Coturnix japonica: one gene and its partner. The main gene of each other region encodes a partner of the protein of the gene in region 2 in a complex. Links are inferred from orthologs where the notes say so. Each region holds a gene or a part of one and is shown on either strand. Other genes may lie near its edges. The genes, in order: POLR2D and GTF2E2.

Region 1 (4,078 bases), on a different chromosome or scaffold from region 2:
CCGCAAAGCCCCGCACCCACCTCCGAGCAGTGCCAGGCCGGCACCCCGCAGGCCCAAGGAGGAACAGCACGAACTGGGAGCGGGACAGACGCTCTACTCAGGCCCCAGCAGCCGCGCACGGCGCAGCGCTGCCCCACCACAACACGGCGCTCACAGCCCACATCCCTCACCCCGCGGACAAGGCCGGGCCCGAAGCGCCGCGATCCCGCCCCGCTCCAACCTGAGCTCGGCCTGAGCTCGGCCTCCCTCCAGGGCCAAGGCCTAAAAATGGCGGAGCGAACCGCGCTCTCCGAGCCCCACTCCCGCCTCACACCGCACCCAGCCGAGCTCACCGTCCAGCCGGCGTCTCCCACCGCGCCCTCGCGGCCCCGCCGCTCGGCTCGGCTCGGCTCTTCGGCCCCGGAAGCCGCCGACGCCGCCTCACGATCCCCCGCCGCGGCCGGCCGCCATCTTCCTGCCCCCACCAGCGCCAGGGGCGGCGCATGCGCACCACGATAAGACGCTGAGCGGCAGGGAGGCCGCTCCACAGCCTGCGCATGCGCAATCGGAAGCCGCGCAGCCCTCAGAGCGTCCACCTTGTCCCAGTACAATCAGTGTATTGCAGAGATCTTCATAAATATGACAGAACACAGAAGCTTAATTAGAAATATCTTTTAATATCTTAGAAACATCTTTTTTAATTTACGCTAAGGGGAATAATACAAAACAACTGAGCGTATCAGGGCAGCTTTTGGTGCTCAGCTTCAGTACTGGAAGCTGCGTTTGGTCTGAATATCGTCAAGAATCTGCTGTAATTCCTCATCTTCAAACCGGCCCTCGAGGCTGCAAGGTAAGAACAAGGTGGGTACATTAAAGCTCGTAGGAACAGCCTCCCCTGTTCCCCTCTGAATTCATTTCACACCCATGCAGAGCCTCCTGTTTATGTGACAGAACTCCAACCTTCCCACAGCTCAGTGTGGAATGATTTCAAGTCATTGTACCAAAAGGTCAACCCGGGTGCAGGCCTCATGCTCATAAGCCAGTCCAGATTTGCTATGAAGAATGTGAGCAAAATACCTCAAGTTGTACCAATGGAGGTTTCAATTAGAAAGAATTTCTTCACAGAAGGGGTGGTGAGGTGTTGGAACAGGCTGAGCAGGGAAGTGCTGGTTGCCTTTTGTGGAGGTATTCAACAAACGTTTGTACAACTTAGAAGATTCTATGAAATCTTAGCATACAAGGGGAAAGCTGTACTTCAGATGAGTGTCTCATTCCTCCTCTATCTCAGGGTACGAGGTAACAAATGATGAGACGACACTGGAAGATCTCCCTGCCCCATCTGCACATTGTCCACCCAGCGGTTCAGAGGGACACTGCTGTTTGCTCCAACAACAACCAACAAACGCAGCTGGCTGGGCTGACAGCCCCAGTCTAAGCCACTGCCCAGAGATGTGCTGGAATCCCCACTTCTGGAGACATCCAAGGCCAGGCTCTGAGCAACCTGACCCAGCTGTGGGTGTCCCTGTTCACTGCAGGGGAGTTGGAGCAAATGGCCTTTAATGGTTCCTTCCAACTCCACGATTCCATCACTCTTAATCCAGTAAATGTTATCTAAAGTGCGTTAGGGATATTTAGATTGCTTCACTGTCAGATCAATGGGTAAGTGAAGAAAAACTGAGATGGAAGGTTTTCCCATCAGCAGAGCTGGATTATGGAGGAGGCATCTGTCCATGGGCAGCTTTACATCACAGGGCAGTACACCACACTCCTTTTAGGTATATAAATGCTCACCTGGGAATCAAAGCTTTGGCTTCCTCAGCAGTCTCAGGGCATAAATTGGCTAAACACGCCAGTTCAAACTTATGGAGCTTCTTCTGGAGCAGCAAGCTGTGAGGAAAGCCAACAACAAGACAGATAAGCAAAGCAGCATCAAGGCAAGCAGACAGCACACAACTCTGCTTTTTGACACTGCATCCAAGTTTATGAAGGAAGAAACATTACAACAGTGGATAGGTAAAAAGACAGACACAGCTGTGGGAAGCCCAGGAAACGTCAGTAAATCTCAGCTCCATCGAACAAGGCTGATGTTACGTATCACAGCCCAAAGCCTCGCACCCACCTGCGGACGCTGGCGATGGTCTCCCTGTTCTTGAAGCGGCTGAACCGCGCTGTGTAATTCAGGGTTTTCATGAAGACTTCGGACAGCTCCTGCTCATCCTCCGCGCTCTCGTTCTGCTGCTTGCGATGCTCCAGAAGCATATGGACCTCTGAGTTCAGCAGGGTTTCTGCCGTTTCGAATTCTACGTTGGAACAAGCAAACGTCAGTGTTTAAAACACGGATCCAAACAACAGCACGAGGTGTCGCCGCGCACCTTTGGGGAAGACGAGCTGCGAGGCGTCCTCCTCCACATCCGCAGTGCGCGGGTCGCTGCCGCCCGCCGCCATTGCTCACCCGGAACTGGAAGACATGGCGCCCGGAAGCGCAGCGCTGTGAGTGCCCGGCGCCCAGCAGAGGGAGCGGCGCCTCAGGTGGCTCCAGCTGCGCTGCACGGCGCTGTGAGCACCCAGCGCCTCCATCTTGATGCCTCTGAGGGAACGCAGCGAGTGATGGCTCCAGGAAACAACCCACAGCAGCATTACTTCTGGTGCAGTGTGGTAAATACATGGAGGTGTGTGTGGGAGGAGCATGGATGGCAATAGCAGAACACAATAGAAGTAAGGTTCCCTTCTTTGGCCTACTCAGGAATAATCCATAGACAGCTTAAAGCTTCAGGCAGGCTGGAAATGAGTGGGTTCGTCCTGGCACTGCTAGCAAAGTAGTGTTTGTAGTAGTACTTTCCCTTGGGAACACACATGAAAGTGCCCAACCAGCTTAAGACTTACAGTAATCATCTTAGGCTGCACAATGTCACCCCATGCCCTTAAAGAAATGCAGAAATAAATGGCTGGAGGATTCACTGTGAGGCCACTCCTGCTCTCCTAACGCACATCTGTGCCGGCTGCTGTGCTTCCTGCACCCTGCAGGTGGGTGAGCTCCACCAGGAGCTGCAGGATCAGATCTGAGCTCCTTAATGTTTGTTAACTCCAGACGAGCGTGGCAGAGAAGCGAACTAAAAACGAATTAGCTGAGTGGTACAAACAGAAAGACACTCAGGAAGATAGTGTGGAAATAGAACATCTAGTGAATGAGGCTATTTCAATTACGTTTACAAGAAAACAAGGAAATCATAGAATCATAGGCTGGCTTGGGTTGGAATGGACCTCAAGGATCATAAAGCTCCAACCCCTCCCCCCCCCACCACCACAGGCAGGGCCACCAACCTCCATATCTAATACTAGATGAGGCTGTCCAGGGCCACATCCACATGCCAGATTGATGAGAGAAGCCTTTTAAAATCATTTGGAATCCCAACAGCTTCTCACATACCCTTTCACCTCAGAACATCCTGATCTTCAAGCAGTAGGTAGCTTGCAGTCTTGGTTACAAATTTAACATCTGTTGTTCCCCAGTGATCTCTCCTACTTAAGTACATGAAAACTGAAAGGATTCGGGGAAAGCCACATACCTACAAGAGCATAAAGGTACAGCCAAGGAGGCGGTGGTGGTGGCTAACAGCTCCCTGTCACTGCTGTGCTTGGTTTCAGTCTCAGGTTTTAGACATGAGCTTCTGTTGCATAGTCCAGGGCAGAAAGTGTTGGTTGGGACATCAGTGGTTTATTAAATAGATACTCTACAGCAATTCCTTCCTTCCCTCTGAAAACAGACCCACTAGCAACTTGAGTGCAAAAAAACAGCTATTACACACACACACACACACACACACAAACAACAAAAACAAAACCCCTTTAGCTAAACATCTGTATAGTAAAACATAGGAACATGTAATAAATACATTCCATTATCAGCATTGCTGAATTTTGTAATGTCTTTCCTTCCAGCAGCTCTGGAGCTTTGTCGCAGTAATTATCTACCTAGTGGGCGTGCCACAGACTGACTTTTATTTAGAAAGCAGGTTTTGACTGAAGGTAATAAGATCAGAACACTGAGACCTTAATCTCTTCTTGTTGTCAGCAACATTTTTAACATGTGCTACATCAA
Region 2 (3,814 bases):
AATACTGCAGGTTAGTGCTGCAGCTGCTCGCTTTTTTCTTAGAGCTCATGTCCTAGTATCTGTATGGATACAGAGTCGTGCTCAGAAGCATTCTGGAGCCAGCAGGTAGCTGCATGTCTGTATCCCCATCCTTATATCGCAGACCCCTCTAGAATGACTGCTCCTGAAATGTTTCTGTTGTTGGCTGTAGAAGTAGTTGTTGAAAGCGTTGTTTATGTGTTTATTTTCTCCTTTTGTAGATCACAGCAATGGCTCGTTTAATTTGAAAGCCCTTTCAGGAAGCTCTGGCTACAAGTTTGGAGTCCTTGCAAAAATAGTGAATTACATGAAGGTATGGTGGTTTCATGTAAAAGTATAATGCTTGGAAATGCTTTATTTTTTCTCTGTGATAGTAAGATGATGCTGAATGTTTCAGACTTTGAGATTTATTTACTGCACAAGACCAAGAATTTCAAGAAACTGGGCTGTTAAAATGTAAAATGCTGTGAGTAAACAAAAGGCCCATTATGTTGCTTCATCACTGGAATCCCAGTTATTCCAGGTCTGCTTAAAAAAAGGAGACTGGTTTTGTTTGCATTAGAACTTGGAATTTGAAGATGCTATCAGCTTTTAGGATTCATGAGCTGTTTATCAAAATAACTTGTAACTTGGTGCTTGACAGATAATTTTGTCATTTATCTCAGCTGATACAAACTGATTTTTCTCACATCTTTAGAGGCCCGAAGTTGGTACTCATATGCTCCGTGTGCTGTGTCTCTTGGTTTCACAGAAATTACTGTGTCATCACCTTCTGCCAGTTTTTTGTTACCCTGTGGTAATTGAGCTGCTGAATAAAGAACTACAGATCACTGATAGATCCTCTTTGTTTTCCAGACTCGGCACCAGCGTGGTGATACGCATCCATTAACTCTAGAAGAGATTTTGGATGAAACACAGCATTTAGATATTGGACTCAAACAGAAGCAGTGGTTAATGAATGAGGTAAAGAAAAGCTTTTGATTGGACACTGGAGGATAGTGATAAACTTGAACTGTATATGTTTATTTAATTACAGACTCTATAAATATTGAAGTTCTGCTTTTGAGAAGTTGCATTGATTCATGATTTGTCTTGTGCCTCCTGCTATTGAAATAACTGAAATGAAAGCTATTCTGACGTTTTTAAAGGGTCAATTAGAATTGCTGTTAGTAGAGCAAAGAGTAAGTTGTAATTGAGGTGAACTTCTTATTGCTAATCTTATACATGCAAACTGTTGTTTTTTTTAAAAGAAATTTCTTCTAAACAGAGTTCAAGCAGAAAGCCCTATCACTATCAAAGATTTCAAATTACTTAAGTGAAAGCCTTAAAACTCATACTCTCAGATCTTTGTTGTTTACTGAATTGAAGAATTCTGTTGTGAAATCTGTGTCTGGAATTGTGGGGTAATAGATCTCAAAGTTCCCCTGCTGGAGTTCATCAGTTTCATGATTTATGTTAGGTTTCATTCTTGCAGAGTCACTGCAACTTCCTGCTGTGTTCATCTTCGTGCTTAATTGATCCAAATGCCATCATGGCATTTCAAGACTAGTAAATCAACAAAACCCTGTATTTAGTATTTATACTTCAGCAATATCTGGTTTTGCTGATATTATACTTAGAATCCTTGCAACAAAGTAGTAAAGGTTGTTGATACATGCAGGGGGGTGGAGAAATCTCTGTAGTAAAACTAGGATGTTTTAAGTTATGTTTTTAATTAATACTAATATTCTGGAGAACAGAAAACTGGCAATGCTGCTATCATGAAAACTTGGCTCCACTGAAAGCTTTGAAGAGTAGCTCTAGGTTGTTTCCATAACAAATTAGAATATTGAGACTGAACCAAAAAGCTTATATAAGATTATCACTGCGTCAGTAATCCGTGATGGTACCGCGTGCACAGAAAAACTGATTTGGATCAGATCTTAAGTCGTTTCAATTGTCCATGAGACATCTTCACTCTGAAGCAGCACCATGAGAATGTTGTGCTGTATGTTGCAGTGAGTTATGCCCAGGCTGGATCTCAGATCCAAGGATTTAAAATTTGTTTCAAATTCAAACCTCCGAACTGTCAGCTATAACACATGGCTGACATACTGTAGCTATTGAAGTACTAGTTTGTTCTCTCTTTCAAGGTTTAAAATGTATATTTCTATTACAGGCTCTAGTCAATAATCCAAAAATAGAAGTTATAGATGGGAAGTTTGCTTTCAAACCCAAGTACAACCTGAAAGATAAAAAGGCTCTGCTCAGGCTCCTGGACAAGCATGACCAGCAAGGGCTGGGAGGAATCTTTTTAGAAGAAATAGAGGAAGGGCTGCCCAATGCACATAAAGCTATAAAGGTGAGTCACTCTTGTCTGGGCTTCAGCAAAACTCTTGGATAGGTTCTCAAAGGAGAGGTAAAAGCTAAGAGAGAATTTTCTGAGTTCTTTTTGTTCTTGTGGTGACTCAGAAGATCTGATTTAGTACCTTTTTCTGTACGTCGGCCTTTATGTTTAGAATTGACCTGACAGCACAGCTGTCAAAGCTTTCTTACAAAAGGTGCTTTATCTACTATGTTGCAACTGAAGGCACTTAATTGTGCTTTCATATCTTGATCTCAGCCCTCTATATCTTGTCTTTGCTTTATTAATGCATTTATTGATGGTGTCCACTTTGGTTGCATTTTGTTGCTTGTTATTTTGCTGCTCTCTGATTCATTGATCTCTTTGTAGAACAGGATCTGGGTCTGTTATTCTTAAAATAGAACTGATTTGGGGTCCTTTTTTTTTGCATTTGTTTTAAAGGCTTTAGGGGACCAAATTCTCTTTGTTACCCGCCCTGATAAGAGGCAACTTCTTTACTACAATGACAAGAGCTGTCATTTCTCTGTGGACGATGGTAAGTGTTTATTTACATCTGCATCCATGGTTTAAATTCAGCTTAGACAGCTGAATGTGAAGATAACAGGACTAGCAAACGAGTTCAGGGATAATAACCTCTGTTTTCTACTGAATGCATTGGTACATGGCACCAGGAACCCTACAATTCAAGTGTAGCTGAACAGAAAAGACTAAGAGTTGTCCATCTGTGGCTTAGATGACATCGAATATTTTGCTGCAGAAAAGCAGATGAAGAACAGTGGAATTTCTTTTGGGTTTGTGTGCTGCTTTTTGTCCCAATTTATTAGTCATGTACTTTTGTTGGTGAATGCAATGAGGAACCAGGAATTGAAGAAAAGGAACAAGCAGACTGGGAGGAGATGTGAGCAAAAGTACTGGGAAGAGTTGGTTTACGACTGGGAGGGCACCCTGAGTGTGGGCTGGTGCTGCTGTCTAGAGCTGGGAGTGGAACTCCAGAGCTTCAGCCTGTATTTTTTATCTTACAAATAGTGGTAAAGTCCTCTGACGTGAGTGTGCCTGTTGGCTGAAAGCAGCAAGAGGACAGGTTATACAATAATATATGTATTTACAGAAATTAGTTACGCCTGTCAGGGTGTGTTGCAATGATGACATCAGAGCCAATATCAGATATCTGTAAGTACAGAAGGGAGAATGCATTCCCTGGTAACAGACCTTATTTTAAATGGCTCAGGGACGCTGAATACTTCATGTTGATCACTTGTTGTTCCGTAACATGCCACATGAAGCCATATTCCAAAGCGTCACATGATAGTAAAAGAAGGAAAAAGTTGTCATCAGACCTTAAACAGCTGTATGTGCAAGGCCATAGAACAAAACGTAAAGCTCTTTTGTCTTAGAATAACTCAGAGGAACTCTTTATTTTAAACAGAATCAAGCAGCTTCTTTGTTCCATAC

Evidence for each region.
Region 1: GTF2E2 (region 2) and POLR2D share a complex: the UniProt entries of both Homo sapiens proteins name them as parts of the TBP-based Pol II pre-initiation complex. The link is inferred for Coturnix japonica from reciprocal best matches to the Homo sapiens genes GTF2E2 and POLR2D.

The regions. Positions count from the first base shown.
Region 1 is NC_029524.1:1,664,239-1,668,316, reverse strand, and holds POLR2D (DNA-directed RNA polymerase II subunit RPB4), read right to left. Parts: upstream 2,480-4,078; 5' UTR 2,425-2,479; coding exon 2,352-2,424; intron 2,280-2,351; coding exon 2,099-2,279; intron 1,867-2,098; coding exon 1,771-1,866; intron 823-1,770; coding exon 744-822; 3' UTR 637-743; downstream 1-636. UniProt on the Homo sapiens protein: Core component of RNA polymerase II (Pol II), a DNA-dependent RNA polymerase which synthesizes mRNA precursors and many functional non-coding RNAs using the four ribonucleoside triphosphates as substrates.
Region 2 is NC_029519.1:30,644,557-30,648,370, forward strand, and holds part of GTF2E2 (transcription initiation factor IIE subunit beta), read left to right. Parts: intron 1-239; coding exon 240-331; intron 332-873; coding exon 874-981; intron 982-2,176; coding exon 2,177-2,359; intron 2,360-2,803; coding exon 2,804-2,897; intron 2,898-3,814. UniProt on the Homo sapiens protein: Recruits TFIIH to the initiation complex and stimulates the RNA polymerase II C-terminal domain kinase and DNA-dependent ATPase activities of TFIIH. Both TFIIH and TFIIE are required for promoter clearance by RNA polymerase.